Oreochromis niloticus: one gene and its partner. The protein of the gene in region 2 purifies or fractionates together with the protein of the main gene of each other region. This does not show direct contact. Links are inferred from orthologs where the notes say so. Each region holds a gene or a part of one and is shown on either strand. Other genes may lie near its edges.

Region 1 (15,667 bases), on a different chromosome or scaffold from region 2:
TGTTATTATCATTTGAAAGCCTCGTGTAGAGCTCACATTTTATTTCTTTTCAGGTTGAAACTGATCAATTGATGTATGTGATCCTGATTATCTCCACTAGAGAGCAGAAGAGATCTATATAACATGCAAATCACAGCGGCACTATCAAAGGACACCCTTTTAAGCTACTTTAATTTATCAGAATGTGTGTGAGTGTTTTGTAAATGTGAATATGGGTGATGAATAGATCTGTTTTTGCTGTCTGGTTTTTGAGGGCATGTTTGTGTCCATCCTTAGTAACTATTGTGCTGTAACTCTTTGTGTGCATGTGTGTCTCCAGGGGCAGACATACACACAGAGACATCTATTTGCACAACTCCAGCAACCAGTGGGAGGACATAAACACCCTGGAATAAGCCAAACAATTAGTCAAAGAGAGCGTTGTCTATCCCATTAGGTGCAGCTCCTGCTCAATCACGCTGGTATTTCAGCACTGGTTGCCCAGCTTCGATTCTGAATATATCTCCCCCAAAGAGCTTAAAGAGCAAAACGGTAATGAGGTCAAGCCAGTCTGTTAGGCTGACATTAAACCTATATTTAAGATAACATGGTAACACACACACAATGGACTAGCAGGAATAAGGGAATATATGCATTTGTTGAAAACTTTAATAGGTACACCTGTTCAGTTGATTGGTAGTGCAATTATCTAATCAGACAATGACATGTCAGCAGCTCATGGCATCTAGGCATGTCGATGCCATCAAGATGACATGTCAAGGTCATGTGCAGATGGTAGTCAGAATTTGCAATAAACAACATGAAAGGGTGCCGGTGGTGTAAAGTTGTGTGGGATATTTTCTTGGCACAATTTGGACACTTCAGTACCAACTAAGTGTTGTTGATGCCCATGTCCATTCTTTTGTGAGTACAGTGTACCCATCTTCTAATGGCTGCTTCCAACAGGATAGCACACCATGTCACAAAGCAGCTCAGATAAAAAAAATTCTTGAACATAACAATCAGTTCGCTTTACTAAAATGGTTTCTACAGTCACAGGTCTCAATCCAGTAGAGCACCTTTTGGGATATGCTGCGATGGGAGGTTTGTGTCACAGATGTGCACGTAATAAATTTGAAGCAACTGTGTGATGCTCTAATGCCAATATGGACCAAAATCACTGAGGAATACTTCTGAAGGCAAAAGGGGGTCCAACCCAGTACTAGCAAGAAGTACCTAATTGTCTAATGAGTGTATAATATATACAGTATACATAAATAGGTGAACAAGCAACAGCAAGGATATTCTACAGCTTTAAGCAAATGTACAACACAAATGTCTATCACACTTCCACCTCTGTGTATATGAAACACAACCAGGTTGCCTGGGACATTTACAGACAGAGATGAGGACTGATATGTTTGTCTTCTAATCTGATGACCAGATTTATTAAATACCATTTGACCATGCAGTATTTATAATAAAGGATTTGGAGTGTATGATGTCAAGTTTGGGATTTCACTCATCTTCTGTTTAGCATTGGAGCATCATGGCAAAGGCACCTTTTATGGATTCAATACCATTGTAATAGTGTGCAATGAAATATTAAATGTCATTTCACAATTCTATTATGAATAAAGCAGCCAAGATCAAATATTGACAGCTACTGTTTATATGCCAGTCGTCCTCTCGTTGCCTTGATTAAATACACAGTATAGACAGAAATAAGCAAAACGCATTTGTATTAAGTTCAAAGACATTTATTTCTTTTGGCACCGTCAGTTTCATTCTTAACCCCGAGTAAATTGCACATCTGGTACAGTATTACAATTCATCTGAGAATGCACTGCTACTGATGCTGCTTCTAATTAACATCAGTTAGTGTAGTAACAGCACATTTTCACTAGACTAGAAACCCTACATAGCTCTTAGTAAGTTCAGCCATTAGTCTGAAAATAAGGCTGTTTTACATGAAAAGATACAAACTGAGAACACGATCAGCAGCAGTGTAAAACACCACAATTACATTTATCCACAGTGCTACAATAGGATGTAGACATGTAGCCCTCCCAGTGGGCCAGTGCAAAATTCAAGACCAGGAACGGAGGTTGCAGACACTGAAGCCAAGTAGCTTGGTCAGAGTCCAGTATTATTCAAGTTAATTTATAGGCTATTTGAGCTCAGAATGTTTTTGACAAAACAAAAAGTAATCAAGTTTACATAATTAAACCATTCTGTAAAATTAGAAAATGACAGAATTACAGGTAAACCTAGCAGAGGTCTGTAGTATGATACAACCGTGTTTTCCCATTTTCTTACCTTCCATGACTTGCACAAACATTTTAAAGAGTTTCTCCAAATAACATCATTGGGTGTCCTACCACAGTATATACAGTATGTGATGTAAATGTTTTGCTTTATAGTTTGAAAGGATTTAAATTTTCCACCTTAATCTCCACAGTTCTGAGAAAGAAATGTCAAACCCACACACATCTAGTCAAAAAATTTGGTGGTTGCCACAATGCTGCAGCTCTGAAGATGAGCTCATGCAGAGACAGGTTAACAGAAAAATAAAACCACCAAGGTTCACACAGCTGACAAGACGAGAGCTTTCATTAGCATATCCTCCCAGGTTTTTAACAGCTTCAAAAGACACACGGTACACAAAAGGTGAGCTTTGAATTGGTAAATGGTGGCCAATGCCAAGCGAAGCTTTAAAAGCAAAGAACAGAATTTCTCTTTTTTGCATCTTCTCACCAAGAGTAGCTTAGGGAGCCCGAATCCTAATGCAGCTACATTTACAATGGACCTTACCTGCAGAGAATCTGCACAAAGTGGAAATTGGCATCTAATGAGAAAATAGTGACTTTAGCTGTGCATTATATACATTACTGTAGGTTTTACAATCCAGATTAAGCATTGCATATTTGTTTTGAAAGATTTTCCTTGGCCTGCAAAAAAAACACTTTGAATATCAGTATTCATTTGTAAAAATCATTGGTTATGAAGAAGTGAATACAACCAAACCTGGTTGCATATATTGCCTTATTTTTATCAGAAGAATGATAGATTTGGCAAAAGAAGCTTTAAGGCTTTTATCTTTAAATTGGATCCTAATAATACCGATTTTTATTTTTTCCTTTTATTAGTCATTCTGACTCTGGAGGCAGTCTGAGCTCTCAGTGGAATGTTTAATGACCTGATGCTTAGTTTCACTGTTAAAATCGAGGTAAAGTAAGGAAGGCTGCCATTCAGAATGAAGTGTTTGTTTGGGTGATTTGGCTCAGTTTGAAATCTCATGCGAAATGTTAAGACTACAAGGTGAAATGGAGTAAGACATTTTCTTTTGCATAGGCTTTATGAGGGTCAAGAGCGTCAATGAAGATAATCAACTATACCAATGTAAATTTGGATTGTCTACAATTTCATATAAAAATATTAAATGTCAGCACTCTGAATTATCAGCAAGACTCTCCTCTACCAGATTTTAGTGGTTGGGAAGAAAATATCACAGCACAAGTTTTGATGGTAATGTCCATGTGCAATCATCTAGGACTCTATTCTGCCTTAGAAAACTCCAGCTTCTGTAAGTAGTGTACCAGCCTCAAGTAGCAAACCCTTCATGTAGGCATTAAAAGTGTAGTACATTGTGAGGAAGTCCTGGGTGCTGAAAAAGGTGTCTGCTAAAGCAAAGCCCAGCGTGGAAGGGATGAAACCTCTGCCGTATTCCACCATCCAAGTCCCGGCACTCCACTGGACTGACGTAGCCTCTCCTACAGCATGCACAATGGTGTCACCTGTGGGTAAAGAATATGAAAGAACAGGAAAAAAATAATTACTATTACTACTACTACTACTGCCACCCAATAATACTACAGGAGTTTAGCTAATAACATACTGTGCTGTGAAAACTTATTTACCAACATCCTGATTTTTTTTTCTCTTTTGCATATTTGTTACACTTACATGTTTCAGGTAACCAATTTTTAACATTAGACAAAGATAATTCAAGTAAATAAAAATGTCGTTTAAATTATTTTATTTAAAATGGGAAGCTATCCAGAGCTACCTGGCCCGATATGACAAAAATAAATGCCCCCTCTTGTTAAATCATAAGAGGGTAATTAACCAGTTTAATTTCAGTAGTCACACGCAGGCCTGATTTCTGCCAGACCTGATGAATCAAGAAATCACTTAAACAGAATCTGTTTCACAAAGTGAAGTCCTCTAAAAGATCTCAAAAAGCAACATATCATGCCACAATCTAAAGAAATTCAAGAACAGATGAGAAACAAAGTCATTGACATCTATTAGTGTGGAAAGGGTACAAAGCCTTTTCTAAGACTTTGGAACTCCAAAGTACGAGCCATTATCCATGAATGGAGAAAATTTGAAATCTGAATCTTCCCAAGAGTGGGCAGGTTACCAAAATTACCTAAGATGACTCGTGCCTCAATGACTATTCCGGGAGGTCACAAAAGAACCCAGAACAACATTTGGCAAAAACATCTTGATCCTCAAGCTTTTTGGGAAAATATTTTAGTGAAGTTTTGAAGAAGTTTAACATTTTGGAGGGTTTACGTCCCATTACATCTGTTTAAAAAAAAAAAAAATAACATACCATTTCATAAAAAGAACATCATCCTAACAGTCAAACATGGTGGTGGTACTGTGATGGTCTGGGGCTGCTTTAGGAACTGAACAACTTGCCATAATTAAAATCATCATCCCTGCTCTCTATCAACAAATCTTGAAAGAAAATGTCCAGCCGACTTGTGCAAAAACAAAACAAAAAACAAACATTAAAAAAACTATTATAGTTACTGAGATACATTAAAGTTTCCATTGTGTATAAATGCGAAATTGAATATTGTAATGAGTTAATGCATTACCAGGATAGTATATTTCACTCTTGGTTGTCCCCTCTTTCCACTGTCTGAAGGTTCCAGAAATAATGGTATCAGAAATCTCAGCCCAATAACGACCTGAGAAAAACAGCAAGATGCAAAGAGTCAAAATGATACAATTCAGAGTATTTATAGTTTTCTAAACATACAATTCTAATAGTCTTCTGTAAATCATCTCACAAATCAAATATTATTGTTGGGACCAAGAATGGGACAGTTTATCAGCATCTCCTAGATTGCAAGGATCAAGTTGTAGCCCATTGTGCACTATTGTAAGGACATGGACTGGAATGGGGGTGCTTCAGACTGACTTTACTTTAGATCATAAGAGGGGCAATTCATTCCTTGATATCTGACACCATACTGTAAATAACTCCAGCAGATTTCAACTTTGAGATCAGAGTATCCTGCTCTAGAGTAACTTGTTCCCCAAACAAACACTTTCCAAAACCATTATGTCTGCAGATGTTTACTTCAACTTACACAAAAAAATATTTTTTGGAGCTGATCTATCTATGAATCTATCTATGTAGCTCTCTTTAACTGCTCTCCTTCCTCACCTGAGTGTCCTCCAGTGTCCACCGCAGTGCCAAACAGTATCAAGTACTCTGTGAGAGAGGCATGGAGGACACACATGGAGCCCATCCAGCCTCCAGCATTCACAAACACCCACTGCAAGTCCTCATCAGGGAGGATGTGTCCAGGATACCTAGTTCAAATACACTTTGTTAGCCATTTATTTAACATTAAAGAACTATAATCTGATATCTAAAAAATAATCTGAATACCAAGTGAGAGTTTTCAGTACAAATTTACCAGTTTTGAGTTTTAGTAGGAAAATCGGAGGAAAGTACCTCAAGGTCAAAGAAATCATTATGGACAACTTTCACTCTGGCTTTATTTTAGACTACACCAATTTTTGACATAGTATTAAAAAAATGAAAGTGAATAAGACATCCATACCATACCAAGGAAGAATGAAGTGAAATGAGCACATACTGAAGAGATAAGGTGCATCATGCTGCAGCTAGTAAGTAGCTTAAACAACCTAATAGTGGTGGAAATTGTACAGAAGCAACCACAAGCTGCCTGATACATGCAAGCCTGCACGTAACGGTGTCGTTACCTTTTTCTCAGCTCCACCACCACTTTGGAGAAAGCCTGCTCATGGTCCTGTCCTGAGAACAGACACATTTAAAATGCACAGGGCATGCAGATATGGCAGTTCAGGCAACCAAAATTAGCTTCAAATATAAACAAAATGAAGTGTAGGAGCAACTTTTTTTCACATGCAAACCCAAACTCACCTGCATACTGTTTGGCCAATTTGGCGACGTCTTCTTTGTTGAACACATACTGCTTGCTGGCCAACCAATGCCGCAACAACAGCACGGTCAGGACGGTGACTGCGGCGAACACCAGCAGTCTTGAAATGATTTTGAGCAGGGACATGGCTGAAACAAAACGCACAGACACACACAGACAGGTTTGGCTACATGCATACAGGGAGGCAGGCTGGCGTGGTGCTCCGCTCACAGCCTCTTCCTGGTCAGGTGAGGGAGGGATCTTTACGCTTAGCCAATCATGGGCCGACTCAGCAGCGTAGGCAGCGCGCGACTCCAGGGTTGCCAGCACAATGCAAAACCGTCTTTTTCTAGTTTACATTAAAATATCATATTTTTTAAAAAAAACAGTTGACCAAAGCTAAACATTTCAGGCTGCTGTATTGGGTGGCAACAGTCTAATGACCAATTATCCTTAGTTTGACTTTTTCAGTCTTATTTACTTACTTATTTGTTTAGATTTTTAGAAGTGTGCCATTGCATACCGGCATGTGCACAATAGCAACCTTTCGCTTGTCAACAAAACAGGAAGTAGGCCAAGGTTTATTGAGGACCGTGTTGATTTAGCATCATATGCTAAAGTCCAGAGAAAGCTCGTGGTTCAAAAAAAGAACACCGGGGAGGAGACAGCTGTGAAACATCAGTGAGTGACCGACATGAGCGGGAAGCAAGACGTCAGTTTTGACCCAAAAGGTACGCATTTTTTGTGAATTTACAAACGTTATAAAGCTAATTTCAATCACTCACTATATCCAATGACAGGCACTGGATAATGAGTAGGACTTCTTAAATTTGTCAGTTTGCCTTATTGTTTAAGCGTCAAAATGACTTGTGTAATTTCCCGAGTTCTTCATCACTGTTTACCAAAAAGGTACTGCACTGGAAACAGTTAAAGCTCAAATGCATTCAGTCATGCTTCGGGGCTTGTTTACTACTCGAATTCACTGGTAGGTTATAGGAGTTTACACAAAGTCTTTAGTTATGTTGTACCCTGCACTTTTTCCCCTGTCGGCCTGACAGACATGCTGACTCTGCCCGCTGTCTTGTGACTGTAGTTCCTGTAGTTCAAGTTGTAGCTACAAAACCTGCTCCTGAATGCTTTTTGAGGTGTTTCTTATAAGTAATAGTAAATGTTTAAATCGGGGGTGTCAAACTCATTTTACATCGTGGGTAAGATACACCCCATATTGATCTGTCACTGTAAATAAGTTTGATACACAAATGAAACCTTGAGATATTTTAATATAAGAAAAAAGTGCAGTTTCAAAAGGAAATCACAGTTTTTCTACATGGCAAATAACTTGTTCTGTAGTGAATTAAAGAAATTGTAAGAAATAAATGTGTAAAATTACAGAAAAAGTATAAAACACAAAGTTTTTTGTTCTGTTTTGGGGTTTTTTTTTTTACGTAAAATGTCCTTGTTTTGTAGCCATTGTAAAAAACACCCAGACATTTCTATTGAACAAAAAGGAACTTCCTGTTGTTTAATTTTCTATCTGTTACCTAATTCCTTTGGTATAGCATGGCCCACAGGGGAGGTTTTTTATTATTAAAGCTGTGAAACGTATGAAAATAAAGTTAAAAGTCCAAGATTTATGCTTTCCTTCACGCTTTCCAAAGCTGTCCAGTGGGGCCAGATTGGAGTCTTTGCCAGGCCAATTTTTGCCCCCGGGCCTTATGTTTGATGCCTTTGGTTTCAATAATGTGTGTGTGTGTTATTACATTGTCTTGTTACATTTTATCACTTGTCTTGTGTAACTTTAGAGCACCAGCACTTGCGTTACAACCCTCTTAGGGACAGCTGGGTTCTTGTGTCCGCCCACCGCATGAAGAGACCTTGGGCAGGTCAAGTTGAAAGACCACCTGAGGAGCACATACCAAGATATGACCCAAATAACCCACTCTGTCCTGGGAACAAAAGGGCAAATGGAGAGGTGAGAAGAGGCATTGAACAGCATTCTTTGGTTCTGATCACAACAAGTAGTAAATCCACAAACAAGGCATCCATTGGAAAACATATCGATAATGTCATGGATAGTTCATCTATTCTTATCTCCATTTATTATTGATGTTGTGGACATTAACAATCATACATAATGCTAAATTGCACTGTAACATTGCCAGCAGTTCCAAATAAGAGGTTTCTTCACTCCTCGTTCTGCTTGGGTTTTGAAAGCAAAATGTTTTCTGTCTGCTGTTTTCTAATATCTCTCCAACTGTCTGTTTTTCTCCAGGGGAATCCAGATTATGACAGTACCTTTGTGTTTGAGAATGACTTCCCCGCTCTTCAGCCTGACGCTCCAGACCCTGGTGAGTTGTAGTGCAGCCTAAATACTGTAAGGAAAAGGAGAAGTAGCTGCAGTACCTTTTTAATAAAATATTTAAGCAAGTAACTGCAATTCTTTCTTTCTTGCAAACTCGACTTTCGTGTAGCTCTTTAGCTATTTGGTTATAATACTTAAATATGATAAAGTATATATTGTTGTTTTGTTCTTCAGGTTCAGAACAAGATCCATTATTTCAGTCTAAAGCTGCAAGGGGTGTCTGGTAAGAACAAATCTTAATATCTCAATCTATATGTGTATGAAATGCAGTGCTCATAATGAAATGTATAATACATAGTATAAATTAATATGCAGTTGGTGCGTTATAATTTAATCTAGGACACGATGCATCTTAATCAGTGTTCCTTTTCAAAATTATGATGCATTCAAATGTATGACTAATTAAATCTAAGCTGATGACTGCAATCAGAGCAGTCACACTGAGGCAACTCTTAATTCGTTGTTGTCATCATCTTCATCATAATCAGCTATTAGATGACGCTAATTTTGTTCATCAACGCACTGCATGCTTCCTGTTTTCAGGACATCTTGAACTTGAGCAAAACAAAATCACCAAGCCACCGTACATACATTAGAAAGTGATGTTATTTTGTGCAACCAGCAGATGGAGATGTTTTATCAGTACTCTATTTTGTAGCTCCTTGGTGCATGAGTGATATTTTCCTAAATCCATCCACACTGATAAATAACATGTCCTTCTGTAGCTAAAAATGTCTATTCCTGGGTGTATCTGTTTTGTTCTACAAAGGTGAGCTTAAGAAAGTTTTATAACAGGAGTCAGCTCAATAAACACTGGCTGCTGGATTTATACATCTCCCGAGAAGCTTAAAAAAAGACCTAAATCCTTTGTTAGCGCACACTTCTATAATACAATACACAGCATTTTCTATTTCAAAAACTCACAGATTACATTTTTCCCTCTTTGGGTACTTGGCCACACATGATTCTTGCTATGCTATGAATCAAAGATATATAATTGTCAAATTGGTTTAAGGAGCGCTTTCAGGGTAAAATATTAAAAAACTAACCTAAAACTCCAACAGGTTGTGGCATATAGGCCTTTATAAGAGACAAAATGAGTGGTTGAACATTTTTTAAGTGGTGTTTTACTAGTAGCAAACTTCAAGGTGAAAGTGGAAAATTCCACAAGTAAAACTCAACCAATAAGAGTGGACAGATGTAAGAGCCCAGAAATCAACAAAATCACCAAAAATTCACCAAAGTCAATTCAAATCAGACAAAAAAGACCACACAGATAACATAAATGCATCTTCAAAGGCAAATTAAGTCTATAGGAACAAAGTAAAATTTTTCTTAAAAAATAAATTTTACTACTTTGTTATAAACTTTATTTGTCTTCGAAGGTTAAATCTAACCATGCCACGAGAATAAAGGGATTTAAATTTTATATGAATAGAGAGTGCTTTGGCGTTTTTTGATATTTTTGCATAAATAATTTTCAGTCTGAAGGTAACATTCCCGAACAATCCTGTGCTTTGGGAATTCTTGCTTGATTCTGTCTGACAGCAGAGTTGCATAACTACTGAATAATAGATTTAATCAAAAAATATTGTGCTGGTTGAAAACTGAAGACTGTTTTTTTTTTTGTTTTTTTTTTTTTCTTTCTAAATCCCATGTGCTGGCAGATGTAGAGGCCGTCAGGTGTTGCTTGCCACACTCGCAATGTGATGAAGCACAGAAACAGCAGTGACTGACTTAAAAAATATAGTACATTTTAGGGTACTTTACTTCCTCCGTCTCACTTTAGGTGAGAGTGTGTGATTCTTCTTGCAGTGTGAGATTGTATTCATATTTGTTCACACATCCAGCATGATGCTGCTTTCCTTTTAGTGTATCTGTGATCAGTATATGCTTTTGTGGCCATATTAACAGAGTAATAAACTTGAAAAATAAACTAGATCTTTGTACCCTGCAGCAAAGTTCAGTGCCAATTAGAGGGGAGTGCAGAATTGGAAATGTAATTTAGGGGATCTGGGTCATGGAAGACAATAGAAAGTCGTAGTGCAACAAAAGAAATGAGAACGTTTTTAACACTTTATCATAGCACCCCTCTCAGCACTGTGGTGACAAGAAATTGGTCTCACTTTATTTTACAGATCTGACAGTGTCTTGTTTTCCTAGAAAGGAAAACCAAGTATAGCTGCTCAGGATTTTTTCTAAGAAGGACTTTGCAATTTGCTAAAAATTATAGCAATGTCAGTTGACACCTTAGAATAATTATAGTTATTTAATGGTGTCATTTATTGTCAGTACAGGTGTCTTTTTGTCTTAAATTTAACTTCAAGCAAAAGGAAGATTCAAGAGATAATTAGGTGTTTTGGTTTTGTTGCTGTGTCAGATTTAAGGTAACTTAAGCTTATATTTCTTGAAAAAATGTCTCTGGAAATCAACAATTTCCATCTAATTACTCATTTACTTTCAAGCTAGCTTGTGTATACAGTAATATGACAAAAAAAAAAAACAACTCAATTTTGTTTATGCACAGCTCTGTTAAAGTCATGCTACAGCATTTCATTTGGGTTTGTACTTTGACTGGACCATTACAACCACCTTGAGTCTTGTCTTTCATTTGCTAATGTGACCCCTTTTCGCCCAAGCTTCAGATGTCCGACACATGCCCTCAGATTGGACTCTAGATTGCTCTGATATACAGAGGAGTTCAAGGTTAGCTCAGTGGCTATACTGCTATATTTTTTTAAAGAGAAGAGGCTTTCTCATAGCAACCCTTCCTAACAAGCCAGACTTGTTCAGTCTTTTTGTAATTCTGCTGTAATGAACATTTAACATGTAGAGTAGTCTGATAAGTACTAGAGATGGCACAGTACCACTTTTTTTATGTCTGATACCGATATGATAAATTTGGATATCTGCCGATACTGATATAAATCCGATATAGCATATTTTAAAATCAATAAAATGTTTTTTTTTAAATATTTTGCTGCATTTTGTATAAGTTCATACTCAAGTTTAAAAAACAAAACAAAACTAAAGCTATTCTGTTATACCTGTATGCAAAAAATACACTGCACCCAAAATATTTCATAGATCAGCAATACTGATCAATCTAATAAACTTAAGCCTACACCATCCTCCCTATTCTGGTATTTTAAAGAGTACTTAGTGGAAATATTAAGCAACCTAACTAATAGGGTTGCCAACTCCGAGCAAACAAAAAAACCAAAAAAAACCAAACAAACCACCCCCCACCCTCTGCCTCATAATGCTTAATTGACGTAATCAACCTTAATTTAATGCATGTGTAACAAAAAAAAAAAAACTCACAGAAATCAATTATTTTTCCACAATAATTAAATAGATTCAACATCTTTCTTCAATAGAATTGCAGACTGCACAGATGGTATCTTCCCAAAGGAAAAAGTACTATAGCTTAGTAGGTTATAAATTTGAGTTAATAGTTCCTATATACAATAATGGATTTCTATACATTTTACATCAGGTGAAAACTTTGATTGTAAGATTCAGATAATTATTTATTAAAAGCTAGACATGACAATAAGAAAGAAAAGTATTTCTTTGTGCTCCCCCTTTCCCTGTTCATGCCCTATCGACCCCCCTGGCAAAACCTTGCTAGATCCGCCCCTGCACAGTTACCAGCCGTCAGCTACGTAGAAAAGGATCCTGATGTAGAAAGTAATATTAAATAAATTCTAACAACAGCTTATCAAGCTTAAACGTGCTGCTGTTGTTTATCCGCTGGTTTCCTCTTTCTGGCGCAAAGTGGGCGATAAACAAACAAGAGACGGGAGTCGTGACAGAAAAGCCGATCAGCTGATCATTGATCAGTTTCAGAATGATAGGCATTCGCTGGGAATGCTTTACAAACATTCAGAGATGAACTTACACACTTGCTTTACTTCTCTGGGATAACTTTCTCGGAGATTAAATGCCGGTTTGGAAGCACGTAGCGAGGCTCCAAATGCTCAACCAGACCGCCGACAGGTCTCGCACGCCACAGCCACTTTATCAGGAGAGGCATACTCCTCCGACGTGCTAAGGTTATGAGCTGGGTTACGCTATGTCGCAAGTTTTGTGAAGTCCTGTTGTGATATTGAATGGATCGGATTACATTTTTAATTTCTCTCCGATATCCGATCCAGTAATTTAGGTCAGTATCGGACCGATACTGATATGTAACATCGGATCGGTCCATCTCTAATAAGTACCCTTTGGGGGTTTTTTTGCAATTTGTCTCAACATTGCACGGTCTGACCTTAGGGTGAACTTGCTGGAACATCCACTCCTGGGAACATTATTGCATTGTGTTAAACAACACCTGAATGCTTCAGGCCAGCAATCTGCCCAAACATCTGCTTTTATAGAGGTGATTACATTTGCTGAAGATCAATTAATCAAGTGCGTTTTATTAGCAGCACCTGGCTGTTACTCACCCCCTTAATTCCTATAGAAGCAATACGGATGTACTTAATTTTTCACAGGACCTCATGCATTAAAAAGTATTTTTGGCATTTTAAAACAGAGCCCAAAGTAAAGTGTTTTAAAAGAGAAAGCTCACAGCTGCTTGATGTTGTCTTAGCTGCGCTACATGGTTTGGTGAGCTGATCAAACTGGTGCACAGTAAAAACTGCTGTTGTAAAAAAAAAAAAATGTATATAAATAAAATTTATGCTCTTCTCATAGCAAGTGCTGACACCTTCAGTGATCCTCTGACTTTTTGCTTTCTATCAGCATCATTGTGTCAGATGTTTAATTTGTGCTGTTTGTTTACAAAAGTTGGTTAAAATGCCTAAACAACCCCCCACCCGTGACCCTGAAAAGGATAAGCGGAAGAGGATGGATGGATGGTTTTGTATGGCGATCTAAAAGCAACCGTATACCATACCACATTAATGTAAAATTAAACTAGTCTTAACCCCAACTACTATTTTCCTAAACTTAACTATACACTTTAAAGATGTTTTGACCTCAAACTTGAATCATTCAGTTTTAGGGTTAACTGCCCTCATATATCTGTGTAAACACTTTGGTCAAAATATGACTCATGTTGGAAACACCCAGCTCCCATCTCCTCTATTAGCCTTCTCATGAACAATGTATAAACCAGTATTCAGTTTTGCTCAGAGCATAAACACCAAAGTCGTGTTCAATTATTGATCACACACTAGCTGCTTGGGCCCAAGAAGAGCCTGCCTGTTGATAGAAATTTCATTATTCTCACTCTGACAGTCAAGTTGATTTTCCTTGCTACTGTAGATAAGCCTGAAAGCAAACACATGGAGATATGTCTTCTTGAAGTCGTGAAGACGTAGGGATTTGAGTTACCACTACTACATGCACGGACCCATGCGCACACACACACACACACACACACACACACAAAACTAACATCTGTGCAAAGTTGATAAAGCATTGTTAACCAAGCTCATTCTTTTTATTTTTTGCTTTTTTTTCTTAGCTGAATAACCCTTTATTATCGTTAGGAGTCTGACACATTAAATGTAACATATGATGTTATAGTTGTGACAACTATTTTGATTCCTTAAAAAAGGTGTTTTGTTTGGTTGCACAAAGAAAGACTCGCTAAAAATAAGGCAAATAGTTGATAAACAGCTGTCGCAGAATTCATATTTCTATTTGTTTAATTTGCCCCCCCCCCCGTTTTTTTTTTAAAAACTATAGTTTAAATCTAAACTTTAGACGTTATTGCCAGGTGAGGTAGTTTAACTTTAAAAATTCCTTCACTTTTATAGTGGACATGAAGAATACACAATTCATTAATGGCACCTTCACTTTCTCACATATCCATCCTCTTTTTTTTTTTCCTGCAGACATGTTTTAGGGTTATTACTCTGCGTTCAGTTATTTGGCTCTATTTTTCATAGACCAGTCCCATTCTGTTTCCCCCTGATTTTGTTTCCACTGACTATTTGACTTCACTTTTTATAATATTACCTCTTAAAAACAAGATTGAACTCAACGAATAGTTGTAATCCATATCTGTTTGTGACATTCATCTAAATCTGAAAGGAGCAAAATGTCAGCTTTGCTTTTATGTGCAGTAATTTTTCAACTGAACCCCAGAGCACTGCCAATGTGAGAGTCAACAGAAAATCAAAAGCAAAGGCTGTGTAGCTGTATTTGACAGGCAGTTTATGGGAAGTGCATAGCAATGACTTTTACCTTCCCCCAGATTATCACTTTGCTTTAATTAACCAGGGAATTCAAAAACAGAGCAAGGGTCTGTTTTATATTAAAACAAAGACAACAGTATCAGTCAATTCTTATTATTCACAAAAAGAGCAACAGCAACAATGTAATGTGTCATATTAAATGAACCTGTAACAACGAAAGGAACACATCACCCCAAATCCCTGCAAAACTAGTGACATTTCCACTGTCTTATCTGCATTTAATGCTATTTTAAGTGCGTAGACTGTTGCCTGTATAGAAGATGGATTAAGCCACTATGACATTACCCTCTGGTGTGCAGGCTCAATTTCTGAAGACTCAAATTTGGCATTATTATAGGCATCATAATAGGTTTTCTTGTTTTTGGTTTTTGTTTTTTTTCTTTTTGGTAGTGCAGTGTTAAGTTATTAATGTTAATTAATTATGAGAAGCTGATCCTGGTTAATTAATTCAGCAAGTGTTAGATTCTGTTTCAGTTTTTTAACACCATTCCTTCCTCTTTTTCTCTTTTTTTTCATTTTTAAATGCCTTCCTCAGTAAGGTCATGTGTTTCCATCCCTGGTCGGACGTCACGCTCCCTCTCATGAAAAAAGAAGAGGTTGTCAAGGTGATAGACAAGTGGGCGGAGCTTGTTGAGGAACTAGGCACTATTTACCCATGGGTTCAGGTATGCAATATTCTCACTTTCTCTGACACGCACACACACACAAACACACTCAGTCACATTATTGATTTTATTTTTCCCAGGGCTGGATACATCTAAAATTGTAACTGCTAACCTTTTTACCCTGTCACAGATCATTCAGTTTTCTGCCGTCTCTAGTTTTTCACGTTAATATGTCTTTTATTGGATCACATAAAACTTTAATGACGCCTCCGGTCAAATTCACAAATTCAAACAGCT
Region 2 (15,842 bases):
ATAATACGAGAAGCTGTAAACCAATTAACTACTGTAGGGAAGAAAAAAACAACAACAATTCCCACAGTTCTGGGACAAACAGCAAGTGATTTGCACTTGAAATTGCTTTTCTATGAAACGTGTTGCATACAAGTTAAATGTATAATTTCATTAAAAGAAAATTCAGAATTGGTGAATATGCAAGTTTTTTTTCCCCCCAATGCAAGAGTTTAACTGCCAGGATGGCGTTCAAACAACTTTTAACATACAAAGCTGTGTCAGTACAACCCCCATTTTCTGATTGAAGTTGTAAATGCTCCCAACTCACCAAATTAATTTAAAAAAAAGAAAAGAAAAAAAAAAAAGGGGGGGGGGGAAGAAAAAAAAAAAAAGGGTTGTCTAGTGTCAAACCGAAGTCATGTGAATATACTTCACAACTCACCATCGTATCCCCCCAGTGCAAGCCAAGGGAAGACAGGGCCACCAAAGGTGCCTAAACAAGGGTCATGTAGCATAGTGGTGTCGTTGAGGGAAGCTGGGGCACTGCACAAGCAAAAAGTAAACAATTAGGTTAAAGACAACCGTCAGTAAGGGATTGCAGAAATCTGCATCAGATAAACATCGATTGCACATGACAGCGAATGAGGAAGTTGAGTGTACTATTTTAAGAAGACACTTTTTTCAGTGACCTCAGCTGCACAAAGGAGATTCTTGTTAACTGCAGGCATCATTTTTCAACTGTTTGTTTGCTTTTTTAAACTTTTAAAAACATTTCTTAGACATTTGACACAAATGTGACAGCAATTAAAACAAGCTGATAAGAGAAGTAAAGGCTAAATCTATCAATAAAACAGATACAAATACTTTTACCTGACACAGTAGAGGAAGTGGTCATGATAGTCAGCCCAGATATAAAATTCATCTCCCATATAGTGATCCAGTGCAGCGTGGCTGTTCTGGAAGTAGTTTAGGACACTAAGGATTGTACAGTTGTCATTGTACGGGGCCAGAGGAGCCAAGCAGATGTCCTTCAGGGTAACGGATTCTTGATTATATGAGGCTACGAGGCCTTCAATTTCAAGCTGCAGATCCAGGACCTGGTAAGTTGAAAGAAAATGGAAAAAGAAAGGAGAACCTTTTAACCACCGTCTGAAAAATTTGCTTGCTTTTCACATGCAAAGCTTCTATTTTATCTAACAAAGGAAACAGTGACGTTGTTACAGAATTTACACACTGACAGCATTGTGACTCGGTGGTTAGCAATGTTGCTCAACAGCACAACAGTCTCTGGTTGAAAACCTGCATGAGTCTGGATCTTCCGCCTGTGCCATTAATGTGGAATATGTTAGCCAAGGATACGCTCAAAACAGAGACACCATGGTGCTGTATTTATTTATTTCTTGATGATAAGAAAGTGACTTGTGTACATTGGGAGAGCATTAAATCATATTTAACCTCATTGAAATATCTGGATGGTTCGTTAATACCTTTTGTTTAAACTTCTATGTAGTTTATGTGTCAAAAATAGTCAAAGTAGACTGAACAGGCTTCCGAAATAAACCAGTCTGACTTCAACTCACCTGATGCAGGAGCTCTTTGTTCAGAACCGAACCGAATGGGATAGATGGTCCTCCTAAATACGGATCGTAGGTCTCATTGAGCATGAGTGGAGTAGTTATGATGAGCTGCACAGTTCTAAAGAAAGGTCCAAAGTGTTTGTCAAAGTAATCCTTCTCTTGACGAGCTTGGCTCTTGGGAGATGACCAGAGCTCAACAGGGTCAGTGGTGATGTGCATGTAGGCCAGGCCCCCAGCTGAGGCTCCCACCAGTACCAGGCAGCAGAAGAGAATGAGAAATGGATGCCTCACGCAGAAGGAACCCCAGGAGCTGAAGAGCATCCGCAGGCCATTCTCAAAACGCTCACCCAGCGTTTCACAGCATGATGCATTTACTGAAAGGTAGGAAATACCTAGAACTTAGTTTGGGCTGTGTGGTAATTACATCAAGACACATTTAGAGAAATAATGCAGTCTCAATGACATTTCATGGCTGTACCTTGATCAGGATCATCACCGTTAAGCGACAGTGGGTTATTACTGTCCAAAATGGGGCCATACTCAGATGTGATAGCTCTTTTCCTGCAAAGAAGGACAAACATACGATATCATCCAAATCTGTTTTCCACTCTGAAATATATTCAGCTACAGTATGTACTGTTTGACACAGGACCCAAAAGTATACAGTCAGAAAGATTTGTTATTTTAACTATTCAGCGAATTATAAGTTGCAGTTACAATTTCAATGTAAAGCACAGACTTATTAAATGCATTAATTTAAGGATATTCCAACCCTTTTTCCCGAGGAGATCATGGGTTTGGTGCAAGCCCCCCTCCCCCCTCTTTTTCTTTTTAAATTTGCTTGAACAATTAGTTTATGACCTTTTACCTGCTGAACTTCAGAGAGTGGCATTTGCATTTGGAAGTTCCGACAAAATGAATTCGCAGGGCAAGTAAACCAGAGAATTCCTATGCTGTAAAAACAACAGAGGTTCCTGCTCTTTTCATATGAATGTCTGGGTGGGTGGGTGAATGAATATGAAAATAAATAAATAAATATGAGAGAGAATATCAGGAGTGGGCTGAACGGTCTGGTAAACTTGTGGGAAAAATAAAAAAAATGAATCACAAAACTTGGCAACATGAAAAGGCTCGAGTTCCAACACAAGGCAAAAGTGGTAGATGGTTGCAAGATCCTTTGAACAGTACTGATAATTTAAAAGAATCACGTCAACTCTTTAGACAGACAAACCCCAAATCAGCATGAGTGACGATGCATTTTCCCAGATGAAAACCAAACCACAAGCAGAAAAAAACAAAACAAAACAAAACTGACAACTGAAATCAGCTGGCAAAGCATCACAAACCTCTTCACACAGTCATCGCCTTTACCCATCATGCGTGTGCAGTCAACCCTCAAGGCCTATCTAGTACCAGAAAAACCCTGCTTAACCTCGAAGTGTGTCATCATACAAATCTCTCCACATCCAACTATACAGTGTGTGTTAGAAGCTAAAAAAGTCCATTACCTGTAACACCAAACTCCCAGAAGAACTCCAAAAAAAATGAGCAGGAAGGCCATGTAGGAGAGCCACATGATGACGGCCATGGCATCGATACCAAGGATGGTCCATGGAGGCGGGAGCGGTGGAGGTACGGGTTTCGGGCCGCAGGACTTGGTGCAGTCCTGACAGGAGCACGGGCCTGAACCATCGTCCAGGCTTTCGTTACAGGCGTATGTATTGTTGTTCATGGGAGTGTAACCAGCCAACGGGACATCTAGAGTAAAGACATTGCACATCACAGGACAAAGAGGGACCAGACACTTAAAAATACTCAAGCTCAGAAAACTACTGCTTTAAAAACAAATTTTAAAAAAAAGTACTTAAAAAATACTGACCTGTGAATACTGGCTCGATGGGAAAAGGGGCCTGTCCATTCTTGGTACTGAACATGTACTGGATCCAGTTGGTAGCATTGCATTCTTTTGCGGTCTTGCCACACAGAAGAGATAAGGCCTTCACATTGCTAGATGGTGCCTGGACATCCTTGCATGCGTTGTACATGGCTGGCAGAAGTCAAATGACAGAATTTTAAAAACAAGGCAAAAAACCCAAAAAGGTGGCATATAAATAATTAAGTCAACTCCAAATTTAAAATGTTATAATTATCAGTCACCAAAAATTAAACAATTACACAAGACTTTATATAGAACTGATAAAGCTCCCTACTGTTACAATACTGGGAATTCTGGCTAAAAACTCACCGTTAGAAAATGTTTGTCCAATATAGTATTCCACTGCCCTTACGTCTACGCCAGTAATATTGGTGACATTCATAAACTGACTCTGGTGGGGACTGCATGTCAGCTCACAGAAGAGGTTCATGAGATTGTAGAAACACGCCGGGCACCTGCAGGCAGACGCACAGTCAGACAGAAACAAGGAAACAGATTTGCTGCTATAACTCAAAATAATAAAACAAGTTCAAGTGTACAAGTCTGTAAAAGTTTCTTGGAGAAAACAAAAGTGTGCTGACATAAAATGAAATTCCTTTGGCCTTTGAGCAAGTCCACATCTAAACCAATTAACTGGAAAATGCAACGTTGACACTTGCAACATGTAAGACTGTCAGTATGCTGTGTGTGCCACTGCAGAGTTTATCATCAGAAATTTCAAAAAGAAAAAGGGAACAACGATGCCAAGCAGATCATGTGTTCTGGCAGTTTATTATATAACATCTCTGCATACCGAGACAGGAACTGAAGTGGCAGCTGGAGACTGCCTTTGAGGGTTCGCAACTGGTCAGCGTTGCAGCAGAGACTTTTGTTTCCATAGTCGTACCCAGGACAGAGCTCCTTCATATACAAACACAAAGAGAATGATGACACTTTATAAGAGTATTTCTGTAAGAGGAAACCTGTGGGATGCTTTAGGTGTCAACAATTTGAGCAATAAGAGAAAACAAAACAAAACAAAACATTGAAGGGCTGTACGTACGGTGAGAAGCTGATAACCATCAGGTTGTAGTGGCATAGGTGGACCAGTGTAGTTGCAGTTGTACTTTTTTCCAGCCACCGTCGACTCACCGCACTCACCGTACCACACACAGTGATGGGCCACAACATGATACTTGTAAAACAAGAAAATCAGAGGTCATTTATTTAGTGATTGTAGAGAAAGCAGCAGTGCAAGTTTATGGTCGTTTCAGCTGCACAGTCCAGTAAACAACATGTTTGGTTTTTTTTGGGTTTTTTTTTTAACTCATGTGACTCAGCTTCAATTTTCACCAAGTGAGGATATGGTCAAAACCAAGAGGGCAAAGAGAAAGCCCAGACACATTTAGTTTCTCTAAAGGCTGCAGCAGACCATATGACTTTGTAGACCGATGACCTGACTTCCTTTAGATACATTTCCGTCTCAAAGACTTTCAGAGTGAGTCTGCTGTGAGGGCTGCAGAGATTTATGAAAAGAAAAAAAGTGTGATTAAATGTAATTGCGAAAAGTTTTCAAGATTAAATATCAGCTCAGGATGTTGGAATGAGACTTAAAACAGTGCCAGCAGTTAGAAATGCTAGCACTTACACAGTGATTTTTTTATGATGCGTCTCACTCACTCTCAATCTCTTTTTTCTATAATGTCTAATATTCACACACACTAACTTAAACTTGGGTTCAGCATTGTGCCCAGGCTGGGGCTAACTGGGGAATTGATCTACCTCCTGAGCCACAGCAGAAGTGGGTGGCCCTTACGAGCGTTCAAATATGTGTGAAAAGAGACCACACCTTAACAGAGTCACATTTATGTATTCTTGTATTTGTGTTTGAGAGTAATAAGAGTTCATCGGTACGTCACTGCAGATTCTCACTTCCCTTGCACAAACGCAAAGAGTGGCCACATTTCTCTCTCTCCGTTCCTCTCCTGTCATCCCTCCAAGAGGGTGAAGAACTGAAGTGAATAGAGGGAGGTTCCCTTGGTTTCACTCCTCTCCGCCAACTTTTCCTCCAACAGACTGTGTGACTTTGATTGAAACTGCTTAAGGGGATTTAACAAATTTGGATGCAGACGACATTTAACAGAGTTAAATATCAGACCCGTCTCATTTCCTGTGTTTCTAGTATCTTGTGCTTTGCATGTCTGAAAATAGTCCCCTCACTTCTGCAAACATGTTTCCTTTTCATCTGGTATTTTAAAGAATACCCTTTGAAAAGCAGACAGACACATTTCTCAGTTTTTGTTTTCCAATCAGTCAACCATGGAGAGATACTCTTACATAAAGATTTAAAACTAAACATTTTTTTTCTGTTTATTCAGCATCAGTGCGCTCTCACATGCTTTTTTCGTTCCGATGAGTAACTTAGGGAAGTTGATTCACTTACTCCACAAACTTTTATGGGAAAGCCTGTCACACTTTGTCCTACTCGTGTCTTGTGGTGCAAAGATGACACTTGGCATTAGAATATCACTAAAAAATTGAAAGTGCAGCCAGGGCTAGTGACCAAACTCTGCATCTATCGAAATTAAGTCTTGTTAATTCAGGGTAAAAAGCAAAACTCCGACTGGGAATATTCAGAGAAATTCACCTCAACTCAGGAGCCATGCACACTCAGAGGCTTTGCTAAAATACTTTCAGCTTCATCCACAGCAGCCACAAATCAATACTCTTTTACTGATTTTGACATTCCTGCTGCTTCTGTCCGGATATCTTATCCTAAAGAGGTAATGATTAATCATTCTGGTGTTTTAGCAGAATTTCAAAAAAAGTGCAGACAGTGGACTGACCCAATTACATCACGAGGAGGAGAGCAAACAATGCAGTGATAGGAGCTGGGAGGCTGAGCATTATCTACATTGATTAAATCACAGACAAGATTTTTTTTGTCTGCTTTGATCAAAAATCTCTTAAACTGATCTTAAATAATTTTATGGGTATTTCTTAAGGAGATGTAGTAATTTAAAAGTTTATCAATACATGCTGAAGTTGAAGCTGGCACACAAAACTGTGCTTTTTTTTTTATGTGAATTGATGTTAATCTCAAAATTAACCCCAGCAGTTTCAAGTCTCATGAGCTTCTGTATTCTCTCTTTGCACCATTTTCTTTTAACCAGCTCCGCGGTTACTACATCAGCTACATTACGTGTAGTTCAAATACCTGATACATCCAAATAGAAAGTGAATTTTTCACCACAGCTATTCTTTCCTACTACCTAGCTTTTAACTCGCAGGTTTTGATCACCGTTGACAGGCTTGAGATTTTAGCGACATTTATCATAGCTATGATGACACTTCGGGAGACATTAGTCAGCACACGAATCTGGTTTCGACATTCGCTGAACCTAGGACCTAGAACCTGTACACGCACCGCCAGTCTCATGTTACTCCGCCACAAAGCAGCAGTATCAACCCCAGCTATATGCTCAAACCGACATTAAGCCAATTATCGGCTAATGCTGTCTTCAATATATACAAAATAGGGTGAGCACTTTTAATAGCTCGACTCAGCCTAAACCTGAGTTTCCCTCGACAACTGATAAACAAACACTAGCTACGCCTGAGCTGAGTCATTAAACAGTCACGAGAGCAGTGACGTTAAATCAAACTTACCGATCTAAAATAACCCTCGGCCAGGAATATAACGAGGAAGAGCAGACTTAAGAAGCTTCTCCCTGCCATGAGCCCCATCTCGGTGCCTGAAACGATCAAATTGAACTGAACGCTCAGGTAAACTTTGACATATCCTCACAACCGTCTTCTTCGTCTTCTTCCTCCCACTATTTATTTGGGGCGGAGATAAATATTTATCCGAGCGCTGCCCCCTAGCGACGAAGACGGCCCACTGCACCACGAAAAGGAACTTCCCCATTTAATTTAATAATCCCCATTACCTTTTTTTTTATTGTCTTCACGTGAATTCACATGATTAAACTAGGGATTAGAGTGTGCTTGAGTCAGATAAATTTGGGTTGCAGTGATAGACATCTGCTTGCTACAGCTTACACCATAAAATATTTACCTTGTTTTAAGACAATAGAGAAATTTACCTTATTTAAATTATTTAACCTTAGCTTATAAGGGGAAACCATAAATACCATATAATATAATATAACATTTTTTTTTTTACATCTATGGAACATATCATACAGTAGTCAATCATCCGTATCAGTTTACCACTCACAGCCCTACCCTGACCTATGTCATAAATACAACCATTAAAAAAGTGACTGTACTTTATGTGAATATGTGTGCCAAGAGTTTGTTTGTTCCAAGATTTGTCCCGGGGTTGATGTGGCATTCCTTGGCCTTCCTTTTCCCAACTATTTTTAAACACTGCCAACCAGGAAGTGAGCATTTCTAGTATATTCTGATACCACAAACCACATGTGTTTTCAGCATTCCTTTGAAACACACAAGTTTGAATATTTTACCAAAACAGGGCAGAGTTCTGGCTCATGTGTCACCTGAACAGCTTTACTGTTATAATTATACATTCTGGAAATGTCCAAAGACAGGACAGAAACTTCAAGAAAGCAGAGGACATTTCCGCATTTCTCCTGAAGCCAAACGATTTAATTTACCTTTGATCCTGCTGTGATGTTACTGGCTCTCTGCAGTCACAAATCTAATTTAAATAATTCTTTCCTGCAGGCCGACATTTTAATTTCAAGTTTTTCTGCCCACAACCCAGCAGCCATTACCTTATCTCATGTCCTGGTACTGCAAGAAACCTTTTGTGTTTTTTGTAATGACTCTGTTTCCCTTCACATTCCTAGTTTTTGAGGTCCACCAAAAGTCGTCTGCTAGGACAGAAAAAAGTGCATAAGCGACATATAAACCTGTCATTTGGTCTGCCGAATAAATTGAATGTTTTAGTCTATGCACACAGCTAAAATTCAATCAAGAGCATATCTTGACGTCCAGATCTCTTTAAAGCTGTGAGTGGAACACCTTAATGCATCGTTGTTTCACTAAAACAGAAACAGGAAAGCATTCAGGCTGTGCTGAAATAACAACAAACAGGAGACATGTCCATAGAAAATAAGATTTACTCATTTACACTTTTGAATGAAATAATCACAATTCAGGAATAAGTGCATATTCACATATGATATGACAAAACTGTGTACTGAGTATAAATTATAGGCGACTATGCCGGGTTATATTACAGCATACACACTGTTACCTGTACATGTACCTGTGTAAAATCTGCAAAGGTAGGTTTACAGGCTGCTACAAAACTATATTCCCTTAAAACTAGGAATAGATATTTGCGAGGTTTAATGCTGCTGCAGGACTAAAAAAGGCTTTAAAGCTAGGAACAGATTCATAGATGCATTGTCAACACTTTGTGCGAAACAACAAGGAACCAGCCAAAGGGGTTCTGGTGATAATAACAGACCACGGGCGTCAGAAACATTCATTTCTAAAATATGTCCCAGGGAAGTGCAACTACTGCTACAGTTCAAACAATTTACTCAAACGGCCTAAGACAGGTCAACCAGCATTTTAAACATGGTACAAACAAGACAAAAGTACTATATATCTAGATCACAACTGGTGCTGCTGAGTTTTTTCCCCAACTTGTCTATCTATGACGCCGTTTTTGCTTGTCAAAAAAAAACAAAAAAAACAGCTCTTGCTGAAAAGTACTCAGTCATGAGGGCTACAAATGACTTCCTTAATACTCAGACTTTAGTATGACACACTGATAAAAAACCTCAGACTATCTCGCTTTGTGGGTCTCCACAAATATGCTTCATGTTACAAGAACGCTGCCGATTCTGAGCTACAAAACACAGCAGGACGAATGGGAACATTTGCTGTATTTACCATCACAATCTCCACATAGTTATGACAGGGAAAAACAAGAAGCTCAGCTCTCTTGTTGTATGCCAGGTGATGCAACAGTCTTTTTTAATACATACAGAATTAATTTAGAACATAAAGATCACACATTAAAATGACAATTCACCAGAATTCCCCTTTATGCCGACTGTACATCCCCTACATTCCAAGGTATCTGACTCATCCTCCAGGAGGGGTGCCAAAGGAATTCAGGGGAATCTTTAAAAGAAACTCCCTTTAATCTTTTTGACTTCACCACAGAGACATGGCCTATAACTAGCGAGTCTACAACGTATGTACCTCAAGTTGTGTTTTTGGGTTGACCTGCCCGCTTCGGCGTTCTTGAAATGTTACCGGAGGTGTTTACACGCTTTTAATAGCATTCCTCCACCAACACATTTGGATCACAAAATCTTTTGTGCATAGTATCTACACATTTCTACTTCTCACATTTTCAGAAGAGAGTTTCCCTTCCTGTCAGGAGGTACGTCACAAAGGTGGAGTCTATCTGTTCTCTTAAGGTCAGCTGAGACATGCGAAACAACTTTTGTCATTCTCATTGGTAGTTTGGAGGTGGTGTGAAAAAAAAAAGTCTTTGGAATGAGACTGGTTTAACTTGAAGGCATGCCAACAATGCTGCTCAAACTGTCAGCTGACTCCATACGATAGGACAGAGTAGGGTGGTACCACTCAGCAATCCAGCCAAGATACTGAAGATAACGCCTTTCATTAAAGGAACAGAAAGTAGTCTCTTATTTCTTGTCACATTCCACCAAGTCAGTCCGGGCCCAGGTACTCTGCATTCTCCGCTGCCGGTATGTGTCCATTGGTGTGGGTCTTGAAGGTGGGAGTGAAATCCTGTTGGTAGTCGGGGTTGTCTATGCTTTGCTGAGGCAGGTATTTCTCAATGCTGTGGACCGTGCCGTTTGACGTGAGCGGGAGGACGGCCGGGGACAGAATCTCATTGAGATATTCTGGTCCGGCGGCCCCGTTCTTAAAGTAGTTCAGGTACTCTGTCTCCGTATGGTCCGAGGAGATGGTGGGAAGAAGGGTGCGAGGTGGACCGGGATGCTGGTAGATAGGATTCACCACATCTGAGATGGGAGTCTGGTTTATGTAGCCTGCAAGAAAGACATTTACATTAACGAGGGCACCAGACAATTTCTCTTTCCATAGGAAAAAAGTAATGATCATAACAGGAGAGCCGCATGCTTTAGGGTATTTATTTATTTAGACCAACTGACTATTTAAACATGGCATGAGTGAAGGCTAAAAGATGAGTCATGACATGCAGTAGAGACCCCCGGTTTGATGCGCCATGAGCTGAAACCATCAGTGCAGATCTTTTCCCAAAGCTCCCAAATAATGCTGTAATCTTGACGTTGAGTTATTTGCATATATTAGAGCCATTTCTTATATTTTGTAACTTTATTGTATTATTTAATTTAGTTCAGTCTGTTACTGTCCTTATTATCTTGGAGCCACTATAACCACATAATTTTCTTAGGGATTAATAAAGTATTCTGATTCTGAAGATGAAATGGTACAAATCTACAAATCTATGCAGAAAGGCTTTAATAAGACCCATTCTATCCAACAACGAAAGTCTTCTTTTTCTTGTTTTTCTTCTTCTGCCTCGATCTCACCTTGTTCCTATCATCCTCATCATCACTAACCCTCTCTCATTACATCCATGGCAGCTCCATCGCTCACATCCTTTGTCCAGTATATCCACTATCCCTCCTCTGCACATGTCCAAACCATCTCAGCCCTGCCTCTCTAGCTTTGTCTCCAACCCTGAGCCGTCCCCCTGATGCACTCGTTTCTAATCCTGTCCATTCTTTTCACTCCTGATGAAAACTCTGCATCAACTCTGCCACCTCCAGCACCACCTCCCTTTTTTTTGTCAGTGCCACCGTCTTAAGACCATACATCATAGCAGGTCTCACCACCATCCTGTAAACCTTCTCTTTCACACTTCTATCCTTATCTCACAAATCACCCCTGACACTTGTCTCCACCCACTCCACCCTGCCAGTACTCTCTTGTGCACTGTCTGATCTGTGGATGGTCGACCCCAGGTATTTCAGCCCCCTTCGCTACTCTTCTTCTCACATCATCCCTGCTTCACCTGCCTCCCTCTCATCTCCAAAGAAACTGGTTTGGATAATCCGATTTGCTTTCATATTTTCAGGTGTTTTCTTAAATTTGATTATTTTACTGCATCTCTTTGAGTATTTTACACTCTTATTGCGTCATTATATGCTAGATGGTTTTACAGGCTGAAGGATAATGAAAGTCACAAGTAGCCAAAAAGACAAGGGGACATGAAGAGGTGTGGCACGTCAAGGTTGATTAGCATTAAAGACACATATGAAAAAGCCTTACAACGTCTGACAAAAAGAAGCGGTCAAATCACGGTGCAGATGGTAATAATAGTTGCTCATAAATTCTAATGCCTGATTGCTAAGCATTTCTCATTTTAAGTCCCCCACTAGAGGTTCTTAGGCTAAAGATCTGAGTGGTAACGCTAATGTAACTAGTAAACAATAGATGGGTTACTGCATGTTCTGCTAACAGCATTACAAGAAGAGGGGAGCAGTACACTTGTTGGCCACTAGATGTCCCCGTTCCTCACTTAATCACACAAAGGACGCAGAGGCAAGCCATGCTGAGATTTCTCTTGAACTAAATTAAAAAGTAATGGCATTAAGTCGAAGGTGACTAACCTGGAGCGGGCTGGAAGGCCTCATCGAGAAATTTGTCTGTGGGGTCTGGAATATATCGCAGGGCCATGCTTCCATCTCTGCTCGGAAATCCGTTCTGTAACAAAGAGTGGAGGTTTTCAGGGTTGTGACACTCCCTGTGAAAATATTGCAAAGAGGCCAGCACAAAGAGAAAAATCCTTTTCTTTACAGGTATAATAAGGGTTTAATGCATTCTCACCAGTAAGCCAGTTCTGCTGTGGCACGTCCCGATGCTGCTGTTGAGGCTCTGAAAAATAGGTACGGCAAACGTTTTGTTAATCATCAAATGATGATGCCACATCAAATGCGACACAGGAAATTGTGTTTTATGAAGCCATAACATAATTAGATAATCCTCTATAAACCATAAAGCATCCACTGAGTGAAGAGGAAGGTTTAACATTTTATTAAACAGGCATAATGCACCGTACAAAGACAGCCTGCTTTGTTTAGTTTCTGGAAAATCATTTTTTTAATCTCTTGGTTTGGTTTATTTTAATTTTATTCTTATTTTTTTTTACTGCATGTTTCATTTGGACACAGGGATGGCAAGTTCTCTCTGAACTGTGACATGAAAGTGTTTTTATGGTCCCCGAGAAGTTGCCATTCTTAGTACAAGCTGATAGGGATCAAAATAAACGTTCGCCATGCAGATTCATATGCATTCAGACAATCTGACAAGCTTTGCTGTGTCTAAGTCAAAGGGCTGTGAGCGGCATAAAACCATGAAAAATGGGAAAACAGGGAAAACAGGGTGACAGCTGTGGCAATGCAATTACTTTCAACAAGAAAAGGAAATTAAATACGCTGAAGCACTGACCATGTGGGAAAAAAAACGAAAGAAGGCCTTACTGGGCCATGTCCCAACAGTAATATTACAAAAACAGACCTATTCTGAAGTTTTATTGGACAGAAATAAAAAACAACAAAGGAAAAAAAAAAGGCGCCTGTAAAGGTAATCAAACCTGAAACCTCATATGGACTAACCAGGCTGTCAGTGGCCGGCAATAATCCCAGGTAAAAGAGCCAGACCTACGCATGGCCTTCACTGAACCTGCAGTAAAAGAGTTCTCCTTATTCCACCTTCATCAATCACAGGACAACTGGGAGGAAACGTGGGAGAGGCGCTGATTAAGGAGGGCGAGTGGGTGGTAGTCACGACAGGCCAGGTAAACAGAAGCAGGGCCGCTGGGGTCAAAAACAACCTTTTCCCACTTCAAGTCAGTAAAATTAGTTAAATTCTGTCTAAACACTTCTGGTAGGCTGAGTTTAGCAGCTGCAACTCTGTTTCTCCTGACTGAAGGCAGGAGCAATTGTTTTCAACACAGTAAAAGAAAAAAATGACTGTGTTTATTTCCATCCAGACTCACAGGGTAATGATTTATGCCGAAATCTCATTTCCCCAAAACACAGTTAACGCAGCACAATTACATTTTCAAACAGTTGACTGCCTGTTGGTAAAGTGTTCACAGCTAAAGCTGTGTGAACCAAGAAGGTCAGTGTGAGTGAATCTGGTGTGGGTGTGTGTCTGTGGTAAATGCACCATTACATGGCTCATTAGGAGCCTTACAGCTCACAGCACAAAATACAGTGGCAATATTTTGCATGTGGATCCCGTATTTGTGTAAAAATCTTTTAAAATTAGAAGTGAACGTGCTGAAACAGGTCAGCAGTTCAGCATTTGGCTTCAGCCTTGTGCTGATAGAGGGACAGCAAAATATTTATATAAGGAGAGGATATATTGTAAGTATATAACGGCTCTTTCTGTGTCTATAGTCATAATTGCATCAATTTTGACAAGATCCATAACACCACTGCCTGAAATTCAGCCCCAAACATGACAGAGCCTCCAGAGTTTACTGAGGCTCACTCACTTTTCCTATTTCCCTTCATAAAAAATGGCAGTAGACACTGAAAAGCCAGATGCATCTCTCAGATCCTGGATTTTTCAGACACTGTTCATCTGCTGTAGACAAAATGCTTGAAGACACAATTTAAAATAAGTTTTCCTAAGTTGTCTGTTATGTGTAGACACCACTGCCTCATCCCCTGAGTTAGGTGCCTTTTTATGCTTGAATGACACATTATTAAGTATTAAGTGGCTTAAAAAACCAAAAAAACATTCCTTAGAAATGGATTAAAAATGAGTGAAAGAGCAGCAAATGAAAAACTTACTAAACCTTTCAGAAAGTCTGGAGAACTATTGCTCAAGATCACTTACAAAAGTACAAGACAGTCTGGCTCCTTGGAAGGAAAATGTGATGAAATGAAGGATTGCTCAAGACTTTTGCACAGTACTTTATTTCCTAGGATTCACAGCAGCTGTGACTTCAGGCGTTTGATTACTAGGCGCACACAGCACAGTCAGTTTGTGTGATGTTCACAAGAACAATAGAGTGGGTTTCTGGTGAACCGCGTCACCTTGTGGGTGTAACAAGGAGTAGTCAGTACTCAGTGTGACACCAACGCAAGTCGTGATGATTTCCCCTCTCGTAATTACATCATTTTTGATTTCACTTTCACTTGAGCTGCACTAGTTAAGCAGGAGCACGGTCTCCAAGACTCAAACGTTTTGCATAATTTCTAATGATTTTTAGTTTTACTCTTACACGCCTGGCCTGACAAAGCAGAAAAGCTTCACGCCATTTCTTTTTTTTTATTTCTAAAGTGTAATGATTGCTTGATTTATGAGATTTGTCTAAAATCTAAATTACTGTAAACCACGTGGACAGATTTGATTTTACATTTCCATAAAGGCGCTTACTGTTGAGTGAATCAGTGGGGTGCGGGAGGTACTCGGGCTGCTGAAGAAGCCACGCTGTGGCACCAGATATTCATCAGCGTCCACAGCATCCTCCATGTCCTCCCCGCTGATCAGGCTGCGGTAGAACTTAGTGTCTGAAGGACTCGGTAGGTGCATGCGGTCATCCCCCTAAAATCAAAGAGTTTACCCTTTTTGTTGTACGTAACAAATCACTGCAGCTCATCATCAGATATTCTGTATATTTAAGCAATTTTAAAGAAAGAAGTGGCTTAAAATTATACCTGGATGACAAGATAACGCGGTGGATCCCGAGCCATCTTTGTAAACTCAGCTATGAGTTCTCGGAAACGAGGCCGGCTGTCTGCATCAATCATCCAACCTGCGCACATGCATCAGCAGAGATCATCAGGGTGGGTCGACTCAGTGACATGAAACTTTAAATTTGTGAGTACATTAGCAGACATAATCTGTAAAAACAGCGGGTCAGCAGGAAGCAGAACTGGGAAAGACGGATGATAAAGACAAAACTAAACTCTTTAGAGCCTGAACTATGAAACAACTGCCATAAAATTTGAGTGTTTATTAAACATTCTGACAAAAAAACAAACAAAAAATAAATTAATTTGTATCATATTTGCTACATCACATCGATGATGTAGGAGTCTTGCGTATCAAATATGATATGCAAGATATATGATGGGTAGGGGAGCTCCAGGCCTAAAGGGCCGGTGTCCTGCAGGTTTAAGATATCACCCTGGGTCAACACACCGGAATCAAATGATTAGTTCATTACCAGGCCTCTGGAATTTCAAGACATGTTGAGGAGGTAATTTAGCAATTTAAATCAGCTGTGATGGATCAAGGATACGTCTAAAACCTGCAGGACACTGGCCCTTGAGGCCTGGAGTTCCCCACCCCTGCTGTAGGCTGTACAGGGATAACATAAAAAAACA

Evidence for each region.
Region 1: the proteins of npc1 (region 2) and sigmar1 purify together in Homo sapiens (affinity purification with mass spectrometry; 3 studies listed by BioGRID and IntAct, with this or other methods). This does not show direct contact. The link is inferred for Oreochromis niloticus from reciprocal best matches to the Homo sapiens genes NPC1 and SIGMAR1.

What each region holds. Positions count from the first base shown.
Region 1 is NC_031972.2:27,425,026-27,440,692, forward strand, and holds sigmar1 (sigma non-opioid intracellular receptor 1), read right to left. Parts: upstream 6,446-15,667; 5' UTR 6,339-6,445; coding exon 6,194-6,338; intron 6,065-6,193; coding exon 6,013-6,064; intron 5,596-6,012; coding exon 5,447-5,595; intron 4,965-5,446; coding exon 4,872-4,964; intron 3,777-4,871; coding exon 3,547-3,776; 3' UTR 2,068-3,546; downstream 1-2,067. Other genes in the region: galt (galactose-1-phosphate uridylyltransferase), read left to right, coding at 6,886-6,922, 7,994-8,163, 8,464-8,539, 8,728-8,776, 15,301-15,430. UniProt on the Homo sapiens protein: Functions in lipid transport from the endoplasmic reticulum and is involved in a wide array of cellular functions probably through regulation of the biogenesis of lipid microdomains at the plasma membrane.
Region 2 is NC_031982.2:19,875,487-19,891,328, forward strand, and holds the start of npc1 (NPC intracellular cholesterol transporter 1), read right to left. Parts: upstream 7,312-15,842; 5' UTR 7,219-7,311; coding exon 7,141-7,218; intron 4,667-7,140; coding exon 4,535-4,666; intron 4,393-4,534; coding exon 4,286-4,392; intron 3,948-4,285; coding exon 3,802-3,947; intron 3,604-3,801; coding exon 3,436-3,603; intron 3,315-3,435; coding exon 3,065-3,314; intron 2,118-3,064; coding exon 2,035-2,117; intron 1,931-2,034; coding exon 1,560-1,930; intron 1,077-1,559; coding exon 850-1,076; intron 523-849; coding exon 422-522; intron 1-421. Other genes in the region: egfra (epidermal growth factor receptor), read right to left, coding at 10,156-10,499, 12,108-12,201, 12,325-12,372, 14,890-15,057, 15,171-15,268. UniProt on the Homo sapiens protein: Intracellular cholesterol transporter which acts in concert with NPC2 and plays an important role in the egress of cholesterol from the endosomal/lysosomal compartment.